Xenopus tropicalis: one gene and its partners. The protein of the gene in region 2 purifies or fractionates together with the protein of the main gene of each other region. This does not show direct contact. Links are inferred from orthologs where the notes say so. Each region holds a gene or a part of one and is shown on either strand. Other genes may lie near its edges. The genes, in order: cope, copb1, copg1, copa, copz1 and copg2.

Region 1 (4,070 bases), on a different chromosome or scaffold from region 2:
GCTGTTTTTCCACTGCCAGTCTTTGCACATCCCATGCAGTCTCGGCCTAACAGGACATCAACTTCATGAGTTCTCAACAAAATACAATACATTTTCTGTGCAGATGTTAATGGATAGTTGACCTTTTACCAGGTGGCTTTTTTCCTCTGATACATAATCAGATACATTTAAATCTGCAAACAGCATACACACGCAGACCCTTATTCAGCATACATTTCATCAATAATACAGGCTCACAGAGGCAGAACTGTCTGATAAACGTTCTGCTTTGTTTGAGCTGAGCTCAGGAGAGAAAGTTAGGAGAAAAAATTGAAGCAGACAGCTAGAGCTGAGTTTCTATGGGAACCAGCAATGCCATCTCTTCACTGGCTGCTAGACTGGAGGGCGTATTTTGTAATCTGAGTTTAGTACAACTGAGCATGTCTGGCAAGGCAGGAATCAAAGCAAATTCCCAAGGGGGGGGGGGCGAGTGGGTTACAGGAGGAGAAGGAAATCTAAGTGATTAAGGGGATGTTGCAGCCTTACTATTAACCTCTGGACAAGCAGAGTGGCAGGTATTGAAAGATTTCAAAGAGGCTGTTCACTGATTAAATTTTTGTGTGTGGGGTTTACATGTCCTTTAGATGAATGCAATTATTATGAATCGAACTTAGGTACAAGCAAAACTGTGCACAATATATTTATAAATAGGAATGTAACTATGGAGGAAACTGACGCTTCAAGAGACTGCCGGGGGGCCAGAAGGTAAAAGGGGACCAGTGGGACAGTGACAAAAAAGAAGATTAATACATTTAAATTAAATCTTACTCCTAAATGTTAGGGTTCCCGCAAATTTAGCGCTGCTTTCCTTTAACATATAGTTATGCCATTTACCTTTTGATCACTGGTTTTTCAGATGATTTGTAACACTTATGTAGATGACTTGCTCACCCTGGACAACTCAGATAATCTGCCCCCTTAATCGCGAAGAATCATATTCGCATTCACTAATCTCACCTTCCAGGATGGGCGGGATGCAATTCTCCTGTACAGGACTAGGTTTCAATATGCCCAGTTGGCTACATTGATCGATAAGCCAGGAAGACAACCCAAGCCTCGAAAACCCTTCCATCTTGACACGCGTGATAGCCACTAGCAGCACATTCCGGCGCACAAACTAATGCGTCACACAACTCGCCCTTCTATTGGTCCTTACGGGAACTGACCTTTGGTACTACATCTCCCGCCATGCCTTTAGCTGAGAGGCGGAAGTCGGTAAAGGAAGGCGGAAGTTGTGGAAGCTGGCCGGCTGACGTGTCCGGGATATACAGAAATGGCTGCACAGGGAGAGGTGGACGAGTTATTTGATGTGAAGAATTCTTTCTATATTGGAAGTTACCAGCAGTGCATTAATGAGGCGCAAAGAGTAAAGGTGATTTAACGATTACAGCAAACTGGGTCAGAGAGGCGTGGAGTTATGGCTGAAGGGATATGGATAGTGGACATAGCAGCAATCTTTTTAAATTGGGCATACGTATTGAACAAATATAACGACAGCATGCATGACTGAATCAGGCACAATAACATCTATTATTTTTCTCATGCTAACAATCTGAGGTAAGATGGATAATCAAATAGTAACGTGGGAATATTTTATTTTACAGCCTTCAAGTCCAGAGAAGGAGGTGGAGAGAGACGTTTTCCTGTTCAGAGCATATATAGCCCAGGTGAGAGAGACTCTGTATTATAATCATACATTATTCTCACCCAGCTGTCATTAGTATTGTGAATGTAGCCTTTTTTCCTCCTGCACGTATACCTATAAGTAAAAGAAGCTTTTTATTTCCTCCTGCACTTATACCTATAAGTAAAAGAAGCTTTTTATTTCCTCCTGCACTTATACCTATAAGTAAAAGAAGCTTTTTATTTCCTCCTGCACTTATACCTATAAGTAAAAAAAGCTTTTTATTTCCTCCTGCACTTATACCTATAAGTAAAAAAAGCTTTCTGTTTCCTCCTGCACTTATACCTATAAGTAAAAGAAGCTTTTTATTTCCTCCTGCACTTATACCTATAAGTAAAAGAAGCTTTTTATTTCCTCCTGCACTTATACCTATAAGTAAAAGAAGCTTTTTATTTCCTCCTGCACTTATACCTATAAGTAAAAAAAGCTTTCTGTTTCCTCCTGCACTTATACCTATAAGTAAAAAAGGCTTTTTATTTCCTCCTGCACGTATACCTATAAGTAAAAGAAGCTTTTTATTTCCTCCTGCACTTATACCTATAAGTAAAAAAGGCTTTTTATTTCCTCCTGCACGTATACCTATAAGTAAAAGAAGCTTTTTATTTCCTCCTGCACTTATACCTATAAGTAAAATAAGCTTTTTATTTCCTCCTGCACTTATACCTATAAGTAAAATAAGCTTTTTATTTCCTCCTGCACTTATAACTAAGTAAAAGAAGCTTCTTATTTCTTCCTGGTCTTATGACCTTTTATTTTCCACATGCAGCGCAAGTATGGGGTTGTTCTTGATGAAATTCGGCCAAATACCAACCCTGAATTACAGGCTGTCCGAATGTTTGCAGAGTATCTGTCCAATGAGAGTCGCAGGTATGTGCATTCTACATCTCCAGGGGGCAGATTTATCAAAATTTGAGATTAGAGCTCACTACAGAAAAATTCACTTTTTATTCATTCCTATGGGATTTTTAGAAGCATATTTATCAATGGGCTAAAGTTAGAACTCACCTTTTGATAAATATGCTTCTAAAAATCCCATAGGAATGAAAAGAACATGGGTGAATTTTTATGTATAAATCTTTGAACTCCCATTTTGATAAATCTGGCCCTATGCCTCTCCGTTATATTGTCCCACTCTGTGGCTCTCACCAGAACAACTGGCATATGGCTACTACCAGAAACTCGCTTGACCCTATACAACTAAAACGGTTACCAGATGTGATCATTTGGGTTTCAAGAAATGAGGTCTAGAACCATTGCACTCCCTATAAATATATTAACTTTAGGGGGCACATTTACTAAGACATTTTAAGAAACAGTTGATTTTTGTTTTTTTTTTTTTTACTTCTGTTGAGATTTACGAATGGGTTTTTGCCAGTGCTCGATTTTTCTGATATTGTTTCTCGAAAAATTCTAGTTTTTCAGAAATTTTCCCTGATAAATTTGAGTTTGTCGAAAATAACTCCCATTTTATAAATACAACAATGATCAAGTTTAATTCGAGTTTAATTAGAATTTAAACCATGTCGAGTTTATACTACTTTCAAGTCCAGAAAAAAAAAAAATTTTATTAAATCATTCCCTAAAACTTTTAGGGGAGATCCAACCACAAATAGTAAACAGGTTGGCTTTTCAGAGTCTTCAGATTGGGGAGGGCATATACCAAACTTGTAGAGGGCAAGAACAAAAATCTATATCATAGGCCAGGCTCATATAAACTTAATTTACTAATTAGAAGAAACATTACATCAGCTTAGCTTGATGCATCAGGATAAGTTATGTGACTTTTCTTCTTAATGATTATTTTTTTGAGTGGAGGACACTTTTTTCAGTATGTGCCTTCTGCAAGTGTTGATACATCTGCTTTTAACTTTCATACACTACCGTAGGCTCCCCTAATGGGTTGTGCTGTATAACTGACTATTAGATTTATCAGTGTAGTAAGTAAATGAGAAATCTGGGTATTATATCTGACCAAGCTTAAAGGACAAGGAAAGGCAAAGTCACTTGGGGGTGCCAAAATGTTAGGCACCCCCAAGTGACTTAAATCGCCTACCTTTTACCCCGGGCTGGTGCCCCTGTTCGGGGAGAACAGCACCAGCCCGGGGTAGCTGCAGCGCTTCCTGCTTCGCGTGTTTGTGCATGAGCAGTCGAGTGAAAAAGCTGAACTTTAACAGAGAAGTTGAATTTTTAATCTACTGCGCATGCGCCGGTCGTGGGGTCCCGGCAAAAGGAAGGAGGAACCGCTCGCTACAGGTACCCCGGGCTGGTGCTGTTTTCTCCTAACAGGGGCACCAGCCCGGGGTACAAGGTAAGCAATTAAAGTCACTTGGGGGTGCCTAACATTTTG
Region 2 (3,952 bases):
ATTATACATGGAATTGGCACTGTATTTATCTGCTGTGGGTTCTGGGGTATTATACATGGAATTGGCACTGTATTTATCCTGCTGTGGGTTCTGGGGTATTATACATGGAATTGGCACTGTATTTATCCCGCTGTGGGTTCTGGGGTATTATACATGGAATTGGCACTGTATTTATCCTGCTGTGGGTTCTGGGGTATTATACATGGAATTGGCACTGTATTTATCCTGCTGTGGGTTCTGGGGTATTATACATGGAATTGGCACTGTATTTATCTGCTGTGGGTTCTGGGGTATTATACATGGAATTGGCACTGTATTTATCTGCTGTGGGTTCTGGGGTATTATACATGGAATTGGCACTGTATTTATCTGCTGTGGGTTCTGGGGTATTATACATGGAATTGGCACTGTATTTATCTGCTGTGGGTTCTGGGGTATTATACATGGAATTGGCACTGTATTTATCCCGCTGTGGGTTCTGGGGTATTATACATGGAATTGGCACTGTATTTATCCCGCTGTGGGTTCTGGGGTATTATACATGGAATTGGCACTGTATTTATCTGCTGTGGGTTCTGGGGTATTATACATGGAATTGGCACTGTATTTATCCTGCTGTGGGTTCTGGGGTATTATACATGGAATTGGCACTGTATTTATCCCGCTGTGGGTTCTGGGGTATTATACATGGAATTGGCACTGTATTTATCCTGCTGTGGGTTCTGGGGTATTATACATGGAATTGGCACTGTATTTATCCTGCTGTGGGTTCTGGGGTATTATACATGGAATTGGCACTGTATTTATCTGCTGTGGGTTCTGGGGTATTATACATGGAATTGGCACTGTATTTATCTGCTGTGGGTTCTGGGGTATTATACATGGAATTGGCACTGTATTTATCTGCTGTGGGTTCTGGGGTATTATACATGGAATTGGCACTGTATTTATCTGCTGTGGGTTCTGGGGTATTATACATGGAATTGGCACTGTATTTATCTGCTGTGGGTTCTGGGGTATTATACATGGAATTGGCACTGTATTTATCCCGCTGTGGGTTCTGGGGTATTATACATGGAATTGGCACTGTATTTATCTGCTGTGGGTTCTGGGGTATTATACATGGAATTGGCACTGTATTTATCCCGCTGTGGGTTCTGGGGTATTATACATGGAATTGGCACTGTATTTATCCTGCTGTGGGTTCTGGGGTATTATACATGGAATTGGCACTGTATTTATCCTGCTGTGGGTTCTGGGGTATTATACATGGAATTGGCACTGTATTTATCCTGCTGTGGGTTCTGGGGTATTATACATGGAATTGGCGCTGTATTTATCCTGCTGTGGGTTCTGGGGTATTATACATGGAATTGGCACTGTATTTATCCCGCTGTGGGTTCTGGGGTATTATACATGGAATTGGCACTGTATTTATCCTGCTGTGGGTTCTGGGGTATTATACATGGAATTGGCACTGTATTTATCCTGCTGTGGGTTCTGGGGTATTATACATGGAATTGGCACTGTATTTATCCTGCTGTGGGTTCTGGGGTATTATACATGGAATTGGCACTGTATTTATCAGAGGGTACTATAGAAGGGTCGCTGCCAACAAGAGATCTCTGCCCATCTCTGTATTAACACCAAATACCCCAGTAAGGGGAATGTATCCACCTTTGCTACATGGCATTAGCACTAAATACACCACTAAATATTTGCCACCTTTTCCACGGGCCATTAACTCCAAATACCCCAGAATGAGATTTTACCCACCTTTGCCCCAGGGCATTAAGTCCAAATACCCCAAATACCCTGGCATTTTACCCACCTGTGCTACAGGGCATTAAGTCCAAATACCCCAAATACCCTGGTATTTTACCCACCTGTGCTACAGGGCATTAACTCCTAATACCCCAAATACCCTGGTATTTTACCCACCTGTGCTACAGGGCATTAACTCCTAATACCCCAAATACCCTGGTATTTTACCCACCTTTGCCCCAGGGCATTAACTCCTAATACCCCAAATACCCTGGTATTTTACCCACCTGTGCTACAGGGCATTAACTCCTAATACCCCAAATACCCTGGTATTTTACCCACCTGTGCTACAGGGCATTAACTCCTAATACCCCAAATACCCTGGTATTTTACCCACCTGTGCTACAGGGCATTAACTCCTAATACCCCAAATACCCTGGTATTTTACCCACCTGTGCTACAGGGCATTAACTCCTAATACCCCAAATACCCTGGTATTTTACCCACCTTTGCCCCAGGGCATTAACTCCTAATACCCCAAATACCCTGGTATTTTACCCACCTGTGCTACAGGGCATTAACTCCTAATACCCCAAATACCCTGGTATTTTACCCACCTGTGCTACAGGGCATTAACTCCTAATACCCCAAATACCCTGGTATTTTACCCACCTGTGCTACAGGGCATTAACTCCTAATACCCCAAATACCCTGGTATTTTACCCACCTGTGCTACAGGGAATTAACTCCTAATACCCCAAATACCCTGGCATTTTACCCACCTTTGCCCCAGGGCATTAACTCCTAATACCCCAAATACCCTGGTATTTTACCCACCTTTGCCCCAGGGCATTAAAACCACCACTTCTGTCGCATAAACTCCCGCAGTTCGCCCATAGATACCCCGGGGGGGTAGGTTCCCCACAGGTAGGACATGCCATGCACGTACCGGGCACCTACCTACCTCAGGGCAATAACAGCAGCTTAGCGCAGGGCCAATGGGTCGATTCTATGGTAGGAGGTAAGTCAAGCAGTTGCCCCTGGCGGGGGTAGTTCCCGCTGCCTTACCTGCGGCTCCGGGCTCACTCCGTACCAGGGACACTGAGCGCTCTCTGGGTGACGTGGAAGCGCCTAGCGGAGCGCAGTCCAACTCAATCGTACGGAAGCCGGGGAGGGCCAGAACACTCGCAAATCCCGGAAAGGCTACGTCACTGACAGACTCCTGAGAAACCGCGGAAGTGAGCGGCCCAGCAACCCGGAAACGAAATTTATAGGGGGCGTAACCTGCTGCTGAAACGCATGATCCAGGAAGTACCTTGCTCTAGTGAAACGCAACGATAACCGGAAACTCAATTTATGGGAGGGGGCGTAACCTGCTGCTGAAACGCATGATCCAGGAAGTATCTTGTTCTAGTGGAACGCAAACTTTACCGGCAAAATAGAAGCAGGATATAGAAAGAAACCCGGAACTTGCAGTCAATCTGTTAATCACTGATTGGCTCAGGATTCCCTTGATTTCATATAGCGCTATGTATGGTCTGATACAGGGCTGCACAGAATCCAGTTCAGCATGCAGCAGCCTTCTAGGTTAGACTCTCACTAGGGACAAGGAAAGCTGATATTATATTCAGGGACATTGGCATTCCTGCACCAGTACAGCTGGGGTGTTTGCTACAGAAACCCTACTATAGTTTATATAAATACCCCGCTGTGTAGCCCCGGGGGCAGCCATTCCTGCACCAGTACAGCTGGGGTGTTTGCTACAGAAACCCTACTATAGTTTATATAAATACCCCGCTGTGTAGCCCCGGGGGCAGCCGTTCCTGCACTGGTACAGCTGGGGTGTTTGCTACAGAAACCCTACTATAGTTTATATAAATACCCCGCTGTGTAGCCCCGGGGGCAGCCATTCCTGCACTGGTACAGCTGGGGTGTTTGCTACAGAAACCCTACTATAGTTTATATAAATACCCCGCTGTGTAGCCCCGGGGCAGCCATTCCTGCACTGGTACAGCTGGGGTGTTTGCTACAGAAACCCTACTATAGTTTATATAAATACCCCGCTGTGTAGCCCCGGGGGCAGCCATTCCTGCACTGGTACAGCTGGGGTGTTTGCTACAGAAACCCTACTATAGTTTATATAAATACCCCGCTGTGTAGCCCCGGGGGCAGCCATTCCTGCACTGGT
Region 3 (4,253 bases), about 130 Mb from region 2:
ATAACATAGGCACATTATTTAAATAAATGCAAATAATGTATTGCAAATCATGTAGTGATTTCAGGCTTTCTACACTTGGGTTGATTAGTAGGTTGGTTTTAATCCTAGCCCACAGCATGCATTAATAATGAGCAGGTCAGGAAAAGCTCCACCCTGACCCCAAGTCATAAAATACTGCCATTGTAGGACCCGCACCCAACCTGTACCAGTGTCTTTCCACTCCGTACACTACTTCTGAGTGCGCCTCTGGTTTTAAGAGAGGAACACTTCTGAAGCAGAGGAGGCCTGTACTTCCCCAGTCTGACCTGCACACAAAATTAAGTTATGTTTTAAAATCAAACTTGAAATAAATACTAGACACTATAAAAAGAAAAAAGAGCAATAAAACTGCACAGTGTATCTGGTTACAGTGTCAAAGTTAAGTGACTACCACACCACATTTTTTTAGTTGTAGGCTGGAAAGAGAAAAAAAAAACAAAAAACATACAAACACATAGATAATGAAGACCAATTGAAAAGTAAATTATACTAAGTCTACTCAGGGCCACCATGAGAGGTAATCCTATCAGGGGCCCTATGGTAGAAGGGTACCCAACATGAAGATGTGAGTCTAACATGGAGTGGGCAAGGTTTGTTCATACTATCGGTGAGGTTTTGGCATAAAGGGGTGTGGCTGATGCAGATAAGCGGCAATAAGCCCCATTCTATTTGCTGTCATGGCTCACCACCCAGAGGCCTACTTGGCAGTATGCGGCCCATTAATTACTGATGACAATATCAGGGTAGTTTCAGTAAGGTATCCACAGGCGTCATTATAGGACCTAGATCATACAAGTACTGGCTTCCAGGGCTGTGGAGTCGGTAGATAAATTCTCCGACTCCGACTCCTCAGTTTCTGATACTTCCGACTCCGACTGTTTTTAATATGCTAATGTATTTTATACATTCATTGAATGAAAGGAAGGAGACATACATGTCATTTAACCACAGAACTACTGGCTCTGCATTGGGCTTTATTCTTATAGCAGAGAAGTAATTAATTATGACTGTTTGTGAATTGGGACATTTAAACTTGCTTTTTTTTTTTTTATTCCCATTTAAATTTAGTAGGAGTCAGAGTTGGTTCATTTTTTGCCGACTCCAGGTACTCAAAATTGCCGCGGACTCCAGGTACTCAAAATTGCCTCCGACTTCAACTCCACAGCCCTGCTGGCTTCTTTGATGTACAATGGAAGAGACTTTTGTTTATTGGTTAAATAATAATATATCTAGATGCTGATGGGAGATAAAAAGCCTTAAGGAAAACTGCAACATTCTTAAATTTATAATAAAATAGTACAAATGATAAACAGCACATACAAAACTGCGGTGCAGTTGCTGATGGCAACAAACACAGAGCTCTTACATTGATGTACAAACATATGGACGGAATATCACTAAAATAACTTCAGCCTTAAGGTGCCCATACACTATAAGATCCGCTCGCTTGGCGATGTCACCAAGCGAGCGGATCTTCACCCGATATCCCCACCTACGGGTGGGCGATATCGGGTAGCAAGGGACTTGAAAAAAAAATAATCCGATTGTTCAACAATCGGATTACATTTGAGCTTATGGGGCAGTCGGTTCGGGGACCGCATCAACGAGCCGATGCGGTCCCCGATCCGACCGGATTTTCTAACCTGGCCAATCGAGATCTGGCCAATTTCAGGCCAGATATTGGTCGGCCAGGCAGCTCTGTTCTGCCCATACACGGGCCGATTAGCTGCCGAATCGGTCCAAGGGACCGATATCGGCAGCTATAGTCGGCCTGTGTATGGGCACCTTTAAAGAAGGTGCTTAATTACTCAGCCCTGGCAAATACAACATATAATACAGAGCTGAACCATACCTGCTTCTCTCTAAATGGATTAGGCCATGCCATTTTATGTTTACACCCTGCGCCCATTTTGCACGTGTGCATTCGGCATGCAAATTTTCACAAGGCATTTTTCCCACATACAGTTTTATATCTATAACCTATTGGTATCGGGGGGTTAATATGATTCAAAGCATACCCATTAACTAGCATGGGGCTGCATTTGCAAACAGATGCACCTTATGGGCAGCAGTGTAATGGACTGCCAAGAACAGAATAAGGTGGTGGCTCTAAAACACAAGGGCACGGCCAGTATTCCAGCTTTAATTTACATTGTTACTAGCACACTGGGTACAGGCTCCCCAATACTCTGAATTAAATATATAGTAACTCCTACAACATGAAGGAATGCCCTAGAACAGACATATCCAATATGGCCTTTCTTATTAAAACGACCAATCCCAGCAGGCTTTATGGGATTCCTGGTGTAGACCCGATGTATAGGTATTGTGAGAGTTATTAGAGTAACGCTAGGGCCCCGTCCAGCTGTTCTACCAGTGTAGCACACACCTGATGCCTTCCTAGGTCACAGACACGGGCTTGGATTCCACTGAACTGCACAACCCGTCCCTCTTGGGTTCTGCCTTTTGCATGGCTGCCAGTGTATCCCCACACAGAGCCAGGGGCCTGAGTACCATGCACTCCCTGCTGCCGGTGTGGGCCAGTGACAGCGTTCGCCATTTAAACAGACATATAAGGGCAATAAATAAAACGCGACACAATAGTGCAAACCCCCCATATCACTCACCCGACTCCTCATCCTTTTTATCGAACTTCTTCAGCATCTCTGCCCCTCAGTCAGAACCAGGCCACTTCCTGCCAGGCTGTCACCGGGACACGTCACTCCTGACAACGTAACCTACGCATGCGCACTAACAAGCAGTGCGATTGGCGCGGACAGAGCATGCCTAGAACGGTAAATGCTTGTTCAACGCATGCGCACTGTTAGCGGAAGCGACTGAATTGAAACCGGAACTGCTTGTGAATAGCGCACGCAATAAGGGACAAATGTACACCGGAAGTTCGAGGAAAAGTATGAGCCAGGCAAAATAGGTTTTTATTTTTGAGTTTACATCGCCTTAGAAAGTTGCTTGGAAGTCCAAGTAACTTTCTAAAACGATGTAAGCCCAAAAATAAAACTTGGCCTGTTGAAAGGAAATACAGTTCTAAGCAACTTTCTAATATGTATTCAGATTTTTAATGCTTTACAGGTAAATATAAATCACAATATTCGTACAGGGAGGCAGGATTCTTGTGTAATTGTATTATTCATTTTGACGTTTAAATAAAGGCAAATAAAAGCATTTTTATAAGTAGTACCTATGGAATGGATCTCTCCTCTTTTGACATGCACATAGAGTTGCCACTTGTTTATTGTTGACCTGCACAGTTCAGCTTTACTTAGGGCTATTTGGATCTTAACTGTCTGGGATTCAGCCTTGTGAAACCAAAACAATAATCTGGCCACTAACCACCTCTGATGTCAAGGCCTGCCCCCAAAATGTACAAATACACTTCCAAATATCACATCTGCACCCTCTTATGTCACCGCTCTGCCTCTGATGTCATCATCCCAACATTTTGTCTGTTTTTTTGCTGAGGTCAAAGGTGGCAATCCTTAATGCACACTGTGCCCCCTCAATACTGCCCTATTTGCCTTACCTGTTCCAAAATTAGCACCGCAGGTAGGGTGGGGCCCTGGCTGTCACTTTGTGCCACTGCAAGAAGGTGTCCTCCAACCCCACAGTATTGGGTAGGGTGGAGGGAGACGTCCTCCAGGGGTAGAATTAAAAAATGCTATTAGTTCTTCTTTAAGGCTGTGACAGATGGGGAGTTTAGTCGCCTGTGACAAATCTCCCTTGTCGTGGGCAACTAATCTCCCTGAAATGCCATCCCACCGGCTAGAATGTAAATCGCCAGTGGGATGGCATACGCGGCGCCGCGATTCCCCGAAATCGCAGAAGTTTCCTCTCAAGACAACTTCGGCGATTTTGGGAAATTGTGGCACCACATATGCCATTCCACTGGCGATTTACATTCTAGCCGGTGGGATGGTTTTTCGGGGAGATTAGTCGCCCATGACAAGGGAGATTTGTTGTGCAGTGACTAATCTTGCCGTCTGTTACAGCCCTTAAAGTTTTTTTTTTTTGCAAGGTTAATGATTCAGGGTAGAATTGGAGAGATCTTTGTCCAAATGGATGGAATGTTTTCAAAATGCTAGAGGTTGTCAGGTATCAAAACAAGTCTTTTGGGCCATAGGAAAACCCAGGCCCTACTGGACCTTCCTCCCCCCATTCAATGAGTTTGTGGTGCTCATGGGGCTTTCTGCTCTGGA
Region 4 (3,500 bases), on a different chromosome or scaffold from region 2:
TACCCAGTGGTGAGTGCGTATTTGATATGGTTGCTGGTCGTGTAGATGAAAACCCCGCTCTCGTCCCAGGCACCGCTCTTGACACGGATATTTTCATGGATGTTGCAGAGGGACTCCAGCTTTCTATTGCAGATCATAATGGCTGAGGAAGAAAAAAAAACAGAGGATGAATTCAAATATCAAGAGTTTGCATCTCCCATAAGCTCCTCTCTGCCTCTCTGCTCTCTCCAACAGTCCTATAAGCCTGATCCTTTAGGGGCAAAGAATAATGCTTCCCTTGGTGTTAAATAGAGACACTCTCCTGCAGAGCATAAATGCCCCCCCCCCCCCCCCCCCCCCCAGAAAAAAAAAAAAGCGCAGCAGCAACTAGCCCAGCCTTTTATAAAGCTTACCATGCTTGGCAAGAAGAGCCACGTGGGACATGTCGGAGGACCAAATGACATACTTCACTTTGGAGATCTTCACAGATGCCAGGGTGCTGCAATGGATAGATATACACAGATTGCTTGGTATCTGTGCCTGTGTGATGCACCCTTTGTTTTGCCACCAACTAAGCCCACCAATTTGCTGTCTGGCAAACTCTTCCCTATTTAGACAATTAAGTCTCAATCTAAACGTGTCTTCTATGAAAACCCCACTCAAAGGAACAGTTCAGAGTAAAAATAAAACTGTGCTAAATCAAAAATGTTTCTATTATAGTTAGGCAAAATTGTAATCTATAAAGTCTGAAGTGGACAGATGTCTAACATAATAGCCAGAACACTACTTCCTGCTTTAAGCTCTCTAACCTCTTAGTTAGTCAGTGACTTGAGGGGGGCCACATGGGACATAAGGCTCACTTAGTATGCTTTTGAATCTGATCTGCGTGCTAAGGACCAAAAGCAAACAGTTATGTCCCATATGGACCCCCTCTAGTCATTGATTGGTTACTGGCTTTTTACAGATTAGAGAGCTGCAAAGAAGGAAGCAGTGTTCTGGCTATTAAGTTAGACATCTGCTCACTCCCAGTCTTTATAGATTACATGTTTGCCTAACTATTTTGAATACATTTTTACACATAATGGTCTCCATATAACAGCACTGGCAAAACTGCATGACTTGTATACCCCTAAGAAAACCTGGCGGTGCAACTTACCGCTTCTGCTGCACATCAAATAGAGTGATGGAGTCGGAATCCCGGAGCAGCAGGTTCCCAGTGCCGGCATAGAAGATCTCATCACAGTTGGGCACCTGGACCTTCTTGGTGATCTCATTCTTCAGGTTCTTGATGAGAATCTACAAGAAGGGGAGAAAGGCAAAATAAGTGGCAGAAATGGAAGCAAGTTGTAAGCTAAAAGCAGAATGTTTTATTCTACTTACAGAATGCATGCGATCCAGGACGGCAAATCTATTCCGTGCCACCCACACTGCAGTCAGACCAGAGGATCGCTTCCCTTCAGGGGCTGAGCAGAGGAACATTATCAGCAGATGCATCAAAACAGGACTGTAAGGGCCTCCAATGGCCTCTAATCTTTATTTATAGCTTACCATCGGGATTCTGGGAGTCGGTATCCTTGGGGATGGTGTACAGGTCATAAGTGCTGTTCTCCAGGTTGCTGGCTCTCTGTTACAAGAGATTTGAAGTGTAAGAAAAATAAAGGAACCCATAGTACATGTCTCCCTGGACTGATCTGGATGGTTGTCATGCCTATTCTTACCGTGCAAAGCAGGACGGAATTTTCAGCTGGGTTGTACGACATATTGAACACAGGGAACTTGGAGCCGCTGTAAATATAAGAGACACATAGGATAAGTAGCAATTTTGTATGCTTGTAGTTAATTTGGCCAGATCAGTTGCACTTCCATTGTATTTGTATACTCTATTTAGCCTTGGAGTGCTCCCACAACCCCTTTCTGTGTATTTACTGTATGTATTTTAGCAGAGTTATTCTGCAGGAAGAATGGCCAAACTTCCATGTGGGTTAGCAGCCCCACACCCGTCCCTTTTATGGTGGGCTTATGCCTTTCATAAAATGGGTGTTGGTTAATAGGCAGTCTTCTCCTTTACAAGCCGCAGGCGGGGGAGGATTAAGCCTGTAGAACCAAGCTGTGGTCCTGCCAATCTCTCTCTTTAAAAGCAAAAGGTATGGGAGTGACTAAGCCCTCTGACTCAAACCAGCCTTTGAAAAATATGACCAGAGGTAAATAGATAGGACCACCATACGGGGTTTACCTTGACGGGGTATGGGGGCTTACCAATCTTATGGTCATAATTTTGTAACTAAAAACCCCTGTTTTTGTAAATACACGCACTAGCATAGACAATTTACTTATGAAACAGGGGACCAGGGAATGTGCATTGATCAATCCCCCTCTCTTTTTGTATACTTGTAGTTAATTTGGCCAGATCAGTTGCACTTCCATTGTATTTGTATACTCTATTTAGCCTTGGAGTGCTCCCACAACCCCTTTCTGTGTATCTAAGTAGCAATTGGCACTGCACTGGGTGGTTTGTTTGCAGAAGGAAAAGCTCAGATGACTATCTGTATCTCCCACATTCTCCTTCCTAAACTGAATTTCCTAACCCAGTGCATCATATACAGTGACCCAGTCTAATCTTGAGATTGTCTATATCAGCAGAATGTTAGTATCTCCTTAATCACAGTCTCACCTCCTTAGCTGCATAACAGCCACATCCTTGGAGCTGTTAAAGTCCAACTGGCGCAGGAATCTGTCCTTCACATAATACAAGATATTGCCGTGCACGGCATAGGCGGGACGCTCTCGTTCCAGCTTGAATACAATCATGCCACCGTCATGCCCTGTGCAAGGATAACATACAAGAGAGGGTTCCATTAGTAAAGGAATCTGCTTTGGCATTTTCCGTGCCATCTGGACATCACTTTCTGCAGATTATGCTACTGCACAACTGGGGTATTACCTGCAGCAAACAGGTTAAGATTTGGGTGGGCGGCCAGTACCCAGAAACGGTCGTGGTCTCTGCGGAAAGTCTGGACTCCAGTCCTGTAGATGAGAGAGAAATTTGAACACGGTCAGTTCTGACTATATCCTAAGCCAAGAATGGAGCTATAGCCCCTGGATCCCGGTGTCTATAGCCAATGCACTCTAACATCGGCAGCAAAAACCCAACAAACAAACCTGACCAAAGTGTCTCACCTTTTGGACATATCCCACACTCTAATGCTTTTGTCTTCGGAGTTACTGAGAATCAGCTCTTGGCGGGGATGAAAGACGGCGCACGAGACGTTGTTGTAATGACCGCGGCACGTGTCCACTTCCCAGGCTTTGGACTCTGCGCGGGAGAGAGAATCGCCAGTCAGTTATAGCACATATGTAGCCTGATATGGACACTCTGCTGCCAAACAGGATTTAAATAGAGCAATCACAGAGTACAAAAATATAGGAGTGAGGGGAGTCAAGTGTATGACTTCTGTTGAATATATGGATCCAGGAAAGATGGACACTATGTTGAAAACTACTGTCTAGAAGCCTTGGCCCTG
Region 5 (3,500 bases), on a different chromosome or scaffold from region 2:
AGAATCGCTCCGTTGTTGAAATCTCTTGTAATCACTTGTTAGGAAAAGACAAGTGAATTGTCGCTGGAACTTGCTTTTTAAAAGTCACAGCGACTAAAACACAGGGCAATAAAAGCTTGCAAAATCAGCTTGATATCAACTGGGCATGTTAGCAAGTTTGTATTATTATCCAGTGTTTGGCCTGGGTGCCAAATGATAAGAACTGCTCAATTTGGCCAGAAGAAGTGGCAAATTTGGGAGAAGATCCAGTCTGTCAATGTATGACCAGATTTTTCCATGTTTTTGTACTCTGCTTAAACCAATGTGTGAAGACCTACTTGGCCAGTAGAATACTGTGAAATTAACCTTCATGGCTAAGATTGATCATTTATTCATAATTATAAATCCATTATTAAACCTAGAGATTCAAAATGATAAAACTGATCATAAAGTGGTCCCCTATTGCTATTAATGATTAGGAGACCCATAAAAGCCTGGCGAGGCAATTAGGCTACACAACCTTTTTAATATTGTTACAGATCTCTTGCGTTACTATGCATCAACTGACTGATTTTTAATAATTTGAAAGAGCCACTAAAAGCCGCTTGGGGGTCAGTACCTAGGGCCATAGCTGTTTCGTAGTGGTTCATTCTGCTGACCTCTCAGGTTTAGCTAGGAGCTTTAAGTAACATTTCTTTGTTTCTACTGAAATATGATTAGTGCTGGAATTACTGATTGATTTCAGCTAACATCAGTTGGTGTAACTTTTATGTAGGAGCCCATCACACTGGAGCAATCCTCTGGGAAAAGTTGGAAGTAAATTTTCACTGTGTTCTTGCTGATAATGGAAGCCCCCTAATGTTTATCCATGCAAATAACATCTACAGTTTTTTCTTGTGTAAAAATATAGAGTATATTATGTTTTTACAGCAAAAATGTCGAAAAGCGAACCCTGCTTGAGAATATGGAAGGACTTTTCCTGGCAGTTGATGAGATTATAGATGGAGGGTAAGATGATTTACTTACCCATTGCACATTTACAGCTTCCTGAGGGCTTTTCTTTACCAGATTATACATATAGGCAGTTGCAAACTAGCATGCCCAGGGCCCACCGTAAGTGCCATATCAAGAGCCCAATCCCTCCTCACTGGTTCCCTTTACCGGTAGAGGCAATCCCTGGCCAGCTGACATATCCAGGGAGTTGGGGCCCATCTATTTTTCTCCTGGTGCCCTGGTAGGCCAGTCCCACCCAGAATATAGGTTTCATCTTATAAATGGTCCAATTTATCCTTGCAACCAGGCAGGCGGTTTCAATGAGTGATACAGAATTGAATAGAATTGGGCCTGAACGATACATGATAAATAGTAATAATAACCATAGCTTCACAGAGCAATAGTTTCTTGGCTGGCTAGTCTCGTAACACACAACAAACAGTCAAGAGGGACATATATGAAAAACAAGAATGTGCCAGTGCATTGTACTGCTCAAAATATGTGCTTTAAAAAGATGTGTTGGACTGATATTTTTAAAAAAAAATTTTTGCGAAAAGCCTGCTATTCACGCCCATCTGTTCCACTTCCTGCTGCCTCCTTTCCCAGGCTGTGCAGGGGAGTTGGCTACTCTCAGCACACTGCACGGTAGGATAGGAACCAATCAGCAGCTAGGCTGACCTGATAGGGAACTGAAGCCTGTCTTTGGTTGTGTGCCTGCAGGGCTGTTATTGGCTATCCCCCTTTTACTGTGCTTCTGGCAGGGACGGTTAGAACATGCCCACCCCTCATTTGAAACAAGGAGGGACCTGAGAGGAACTATAGGGAGCTCCAATAAAGTGATCTTTTTAAGGTAATTTTCAGCCCAGAGTAAAGCCAGCACAATATATTATTCATTATTGCCTACAAGATTGCAAGCCTTTTTAGTTACACTATATGTCTCCTTTTAAAAAAGAGGCAGAAGAGAAGGTAAACCAGTTGAAAAGTTGCTAAGAACATGACATTCTGCAACATACTAATAGTTAACTTTGTGAGCAATGACATACAGGGAGATTTGTTGCCCGCAGTAAAAATGTGCTACAGTGGGACAAATCACCGAAAAATGCCATCCCCCTTTGCTAACATGAGAAACACCGCAAGTAAATTACATTACTCGCAGGGATTTGGCTTAATGTTTAGGAAATAGATATGGCAAGTTAAAACATCCTATGCCAGAGCATGGCAATCTTTTGGCCCCTCATTGCATTAATTTCTGTTTTCTTTCAATACATATAGAGAAACCACTGGGTATATATATTGTATATGCTCAGCTTATTGGCCTATGTTTAAATGCTGCTTTGTATCTTAGTGGGAGCCAAGTGGTTAATATTTTAGCATGCACCTCATAGTACTTCAGATTCACAAATGAAGACCATAAAATCATTCCATTATTGTAAACAGAAATGTTAATCTGGAACTTGTACATTCTCCGTCTGTGCCTGTTTTTGTTTGACTTGTGATTGTGCAGCAGTTACTATCATAGCGACTCTATGAATGGAACGCTTTCTAACGGTGCCATTACTGCGTAAGTGCCACTCTTTTTCTGTGTAATGACATCATTATCAGTGATTCCATTCTGGGGGTGCTGCAGTCTGAACAGCAGGGCCGTGGCTATTAAGAGGTAAAGGAATTGTCTTTAGCTTAACTGTCTGTGTACTTCAACGTAATGGTGTGCTGCTCACAAATGGTTAATATAAGGGTGTGTGCAGTTTTGTTCAACTATTTCCCTTGTTTCTTGCAATGCAGAGTCATACTAGAGAGTGACCCTCAGCAAGTGGTTCACCGTGTGGCACTAAGGGTAAGTAGAAATGTGTGGCACTTCTGGGGATAAAAACAGTGCTTACGTGCTCGAGGCTCCATATAGGTTTGGACTGGGATACAAAATAGGCCCTGGCATTTCAAGTCCACTAAATAGTGACTGTCTATGCCATCTTACAGCAGCCCCTCTGGCATTTGCCACAATCCACAGATTGCCAGTCTGGGCCTGGCTTCATAAGCCATGAGAACATTAGGGTTGTTTGTAGATTGGGGGGTGGGTCATTGTGACTAAAAGAAAGTTACTGTTGTATCAACTTATTATAGTCTCTTCCAAACACAATATTTACACTGTAAGCTCTTCTATGCAGAGATTGTTGCTGTAACTGTTCTGTGTCTGTGCTGTATAGACTGTCTGGTATACTGTAATACATTTTTAATATAATTAGCATAATTATGAATGTGCTCTTATAGCTTGTGATATCTTTCCTCTTACATACATACATACATACATACATACATACATACATTATTCTGAAATTCTGCTGGAGCTATAGAAAAACATGTTCTAATCATTTTATATAGTTTTACAATGCAGGGTGTAGCAGAGCATCTAACCAGGTCATGCTCTTTTAGAGCCTAATGCCAAAAAGTACAAGTTGTACTAGAGCAGCCCTTTCTTAGTGCACTGGGTGAATTGTTTTCTGGGCAGCAGTGAAGTGGTTAAGACCCTTGCC
Region 6 (3,500 bases), on a different chromosome or scaffold from region 2:
CTTGCAGACCAGCAGTCCACATGGGGCTACCAAATAACCACAGTCCTTATTTAAAATCCCCAAAGAGCTTTTTTCAAGCTTGTGTGGCTCACCAACACCTTTTACATCTGAGTGTGGCTCAGAAGTTTGGGAAAATGGAACTTCAATAGTTAAAGGTTAACATTAAAAATAAGTGCCTCGGTTTACAAATAATAAATGTAAAGCAGCCTTCAGTAATCTAGATGTTAACGATTCAAATTACCCCAAACCCTACTGCACTGGAGTTCTGGAGGTATATCTCTGCAACATCCTAATAAGTAGTTTAAGTTTACTATAGCCGTAGTTTAAGTGTAATATAGCTACTATTAAGTTATGTTTACTAATAAATAATTGAGGTTATTACTTAAGCAAAGAAAAAAGGAAGAAAGAAAAAATAATGGTGGTATTCTTACCTGCTCTGACGGCTTCATTCTCTAATACCACCCTGTTAAAGATGAAACGAATGTACTTGGAGGGTGTGGGTGTTTTTGGCCCTTCTCTTCCCAAAAGATGCAGAATCTTGGTAGCCAGAACTGTGTGCTCACAGTCCTCAATAAATTCACACAGGTGAGCAAGGCCAGATTCTTTGCTGTCTGGGTTCTCTTCTATGATGCTAATAATGCAGTCCACAATGGCACGCTTGTATTCAAAACCTCCCTGCATATGAGAGTGTGTGTAGTTTAGCATACTTGAGCATTTTGAGCTAGGAACAAGACACTATTTAAACAGAAAATTAATTATCTTATGGCCATTTACTAATTTTTTTTTTAAAGAGAACTAGTTCTACTGGCAAGAATTGCCAAGTAAATCTATGACTAACAATTAACACCCCAAATCACCTATGGATAGACAAGAGGTAGTAATGTGTCTATTTATGCCCGTGCATGTATTAGAACCCAACAATCCCAACAAATATCCATGTGCTATGGATGTTGGTCAGATACTTGGTTGCGCATGTTTGTAAACAGGCTGGGCTGAACAGTGTATGGCCTCATTTACTATGAAGCGAAATACACTGCTCAAAAAAAATAAAGGGAACAGAAAAATAAGACATCCTAGATCTGAATGAAATATTCTTATTAAATACTTCGTTCTTTATCTAGTTGAATGTGCTGACAACAAAATTATCAATGGAAATCAAATTTATCAACCAATGGAGGTCTGGATTTGGAGTCACTCTCAAAATTAAAGTGGAAAAAAACGCTACAGGCTGATCCAACTTTGATGTAATGTCCTTAAAACAAGTCAAAATGAGGCTCAGTAGTGTGTGTGGCCTCCGTGTGCCTATATGACCTTCCTACAACGCCTGGGCATGATGAGGTGGCGGATGGTCTCCTGAGGGATCCCCTCCCAGACCTGGTCTAAAGCATCCACCAACTCCTGGACAGTCTGTGGTGCAACGTGGCATTGGTGGATGGAGGGAGACATGATATCCCAGATGTGCTCAATTGGATTCAGGTCTGGGGAACAGTAGGGCCAGTCCATAGCATCAATGCCTTCATCTTGCAGGAACTGCTGACACACTCCAGCCACATGAGGTCTAGCACTGTCTTGCATCAGGAGGAACCCAGGGCCAACCGCACCAGCATATTGGTCTCACAAAGGGTCTGAGGATCTCACCTCACTACCTAATGGCAGTCAGGCTACCTCTGGCGAGCACATGGAGGGCTATGCTGCCCCCACAAAGAAATGCCACCCTACACCATTACTGACCCACTGCCAAACCAGTCATGCTGGAGGATGTTGCAGGCAGCAAAATGTTCTCCACGGTGTCTCCAGACTCTGTCACGTCTGTCACATGTGCTCAGTGTGAACCTGCTTTCATCTGTGAAGAGCACAGGGCGCCAGTGGCGAATTTGCCAATCTTGGTGTTCTCTGGCAAATGCCAAACGTCTTGCACAGTGTTGGGTTGTAAGCACAACCCCTACCTGTGAACGTCGGGCCCTCATACCACCCTCAAGGAGTCTGTTTCTGACCGTTTGAGCAGACACATGCACATTTGTGGCCCTCTGGAGGTCATTTTGCAGGGCTCTGGCAGTGCTCCTCCTGTTCCTCCTTGCACAAAGGTGGAGGTAGCGGTCCTGCTGCTGGGTTGTTGCCTTCCTATAGCCTCCTCCACGTCTCCTGATGTACTGGCCTGTCTCCTGGTAGCGCCTCCATGCTCTGGACACTATGCCGACAGACACAGCAAGCCTTCTTGCCACAGCTCGCATTGATGTGCCATCCTGGATGAGCTGCACTACCTGAGCCATTAGTGTGGGTTGTAGACTCTGTCTCATGCTACCACTAGAGTGAAAGCACCACCAGCATTCAAAAGTCATTGAAACATCAGCCAGAAAGCATAAGAACTGAGAAGTGGTCTGTGGTCACCACCTGCAGAACCACTCCTTTATTGGGGATGTCTTGCTAATTGCCTATAATTTCCACCTGTTGTCTATTACATTTGCACAACAGCATGTGAAATTAATTGTCAATCAGTGTTGCTACCTAAGTGGACAGTTTGATTTCACAAAAGTGTGACTGACTTGGAGTTACATTTTGTTGTTTAAGTGTTCCCTTTATTTTTTTGAGCAGTGTATATACAGTATGTTTATAATATATTGTGGGCTATTCTACTTCTAAGAACACCAAAGGGTTTTGTTAACTATTGTTAACTAGTTTACAAGCAGTGCTCGTAGGTACCACTTGTAAAAAGTTAATAGTAGTTAATAAAGCCCCTTAGATTTAATAAATTATTTTCCTCTTTGAAACAATTGCCTAGATCATAAAACCCTTGTGCAAATCGCAGATGGAGAGCAACAATTTAGACAATTATTCCAACATGGACCAGTGCTGTGTACAAACACCCATTGAAAATTCCTGTGTTTGACTGCTCATACGAGACACAAATTGGCACATCAATATACTTTGATTAATGTATAAATCCAGAAATCTTTTCTTGAGTCAGAAAAGTACTGTTAAATTGCAGAAAAGGTCACAGCAGAGAAACCCATTTTTAGTCTATAAACTAGTCAGAGGTCCAAACTGTCTGAATTGATCACACACTGCATATACCATCAGATCCTTTTTGTTTACTTGAAATATGATTTCTGACCAGAATTTTCAACCCAGCCAAACTATAGCATTCAATAAGTTATCAATTCATCAGTTTGCCAGGCCTCCAGTGACCTAGCCAACTGACATATGCTCTGATCTGTGCATTTATCTGTCTATTAGGCCATCTATATGAAGTTAAATTGGTACTGGATTGGTCACATAGGGGATTTTATACAATATATGCCACCCTTAGTACAGAGAATTTTAATATCAGTAATTAACAATGAAATGAAAGTATTTTGAAAATATACAAATATAAAATCATATGTACATAATCCATATTTACAATTCTGCATCATTATAACACACATAATATCAATCTATTTGGCATATCAGGGTAACACCAACAGAGGATACTTTGGGTACTATAAGCATTACGACTTTAA

The links.
Region 1: the proteins of copb1 (region 2) and cope purify together in Homo sapiens (affinity purification with mass spectrometry; 6 studies listed by BioGRID and IntAct, with this or other methods). This does not show direct contact. The link is inferred for Xenopus tropicalis from reciprocal best matches to the Homo sapiens genes COPB1 and COPE.
Region 3: the proteins of copb1 (region 2) and copg1 fractionate together in Homo sapiens (co-fractionation; 11 studies listed by BioGRID and IntAct, counting the BioPlex papers as one, with this or other methods). This does not show direct contact. The link is inferred for Xenopus tropicalis from reciprocal best matches to the Homo sapiens genes COPB1 and COPG1.
Region 4: the proteins of copb1 (region 2) and copa fractionate together in Homo sapiens (co-fractionation; 6 studies listed by BioGRID and IntAct, with this or other methods). This does not show direct contact. The link is inferred for Xenopus tropicalis from reciprocal best matches to the Homo sapiens genes COPB1 and COPA.
Region 5: the proteins of copb1 (region 2) and copz1 fractionate together in Homo sapiens (co-fractionation; 8 studies listed by BioGRID and IntAct, with this or other methods). This does not show direct contact. The link is inferred for Xenopus tropicalis from reciprocal best matches to the Homo sapiens genes COPB1 and COPZ1.
Region 6: the proteins of copb1 (region 2) and copg2 purify together in Homo sapiens (affinity purification with western blotting; 4 studies listed by BioGRID and IntAct, with this or other methods). This does not show direct contact. The link is inferred for Xenopus tropicalis from reciprocal best matches to the Homo sapiens genes COPB1 and COPG2.

The regions. Positions count from the first base shown.
Region 1 is NC_030677.2:112,615,111-112,619,180, reverse strand, and holds the start of cope (coatomer subunit epsilon), read left to right. Parts: upstream 1-1,270; 5' UTR 1,271-1,312; coding exon 1,313-1,411; intron 1,412-1,643; coding exon 1,644-1,706; intron 1,707-2,489; coding exon 2,490-2,590; intron 2,591-4,070. Other genes in the region: probable ATP-dependent RNA helicase DDX49, read right to left, coding at 1-46, 997-1,111. UniProt on the Homo sapiens protein: The coatomer is a cytosolic protein complex that binds to dilysine motifs and reversibly associates with Golgi non-clathrin-coated vesicles, which further mediate biosynthetic protein transport from the ER, via the Golgi up to the trans Golgi network.
Region 2 is NC_030680.2:3,433,440-3,437,391, reverse strand, and holds the start of copb1 (coatomer subunit beta), read right to left. Parts: upstream 2,801-3,952; 5' UTR 2,729-2,800; intron 1-2,728. UniProt on the Homo sapiens protein: The coatomer is a cytosolic protein complex that binds to dilysine motifs and reversibly associates with Golgi non-clathrin-coated vesicles, which further mediate biosynthetic protein transport from the ER, via the Golgi up to the trans Golgi network.
Region 3 is NC_030680.2:135,688,518-135,692,770, forward strand, and holds the start of copg1 (coatomer subunit gamma-1), read right to left. Parts: upstream 2,801-4,253; 5' UTR 2,704-2,800; coding exon 2,667-2,703; intron 1-2,666. UniProt on the Homo sapiens protein: The coatomer is a cytosolic protein complex that binds to dilysine motifs and reversibly associates with Golgi non-clathrin-coated vesicles, which further mediate biosynthetic protein transport from the ER, via the Golgi up to the trans Golgi network.
Region 4 is NC_030684.2:137,310,124-137,313,623, reverse strand, and holds part of copa (coatomer subunit alpha), read right to left. Parts: intron 3,293-3,500; coding exon 3,157-3,292; intron 3,004-3,156; coding exon 2,921-3,003; intron 2,802-2,920; coding exon 2,651-2,801; intron 1,765-2,650; coding exon 1,698-1,764; intron 1,604-1,697; coding exon 1,528-1,603; intron 1,443-1,527; coding exon 1,360-1,442; intron 1,276-1,359; coding exon 1,136-1,275; intron 479-1,135; coding exon 393-478; intron 143-392; coding exon 4-142; intron 1-3. UniProt on the Homo sapiens protein: The coatomer is a cytosolic protein complex that binds to dilysine motifs and reversibly associates with Golgi non-clathrin-coated vesicles, which further mediate biosynthetic protein transport from the ER, via the Golgi up to the trans Golgi network.
Region 5 is NC_030678.2:145,576,885-145,580,384, reverse strand, and holds part of copz1 (coatomer subunit zeta-1), read left to right. Parts: intron 1-909; coding exon 910-987; intron 988-2,754; coding exon 2,755-2,806; intron 2,807-3,500. UniProt on the Homo sapiens protein: The coatomer is a cytosolic protein complex that binds to dilysine motifs and reversibly associates with Golgi non-clathrin-coated vesicles, which further mediate biosynthetic protein transport from the ER, via the Golgi up to the trans Golgi network.
Region 6 is NC_030679.2:86,709,329-86,712,828, reverse strand, and holds part of copg2 (coatomer subunit gamma-2), read right to left. Parts: intron 676-3,500; coding exon 432-675; intron 1-431. UniProt on the Homo sapiens protein: The coatomer is a cytosolic protein complex that binds to dilysine motifs and reversibly associates with Golgi non-clathrin-coated vesicles, which further mediate biosynthetic protein transport from the ER, via the Golgi up to the trans Golgi network.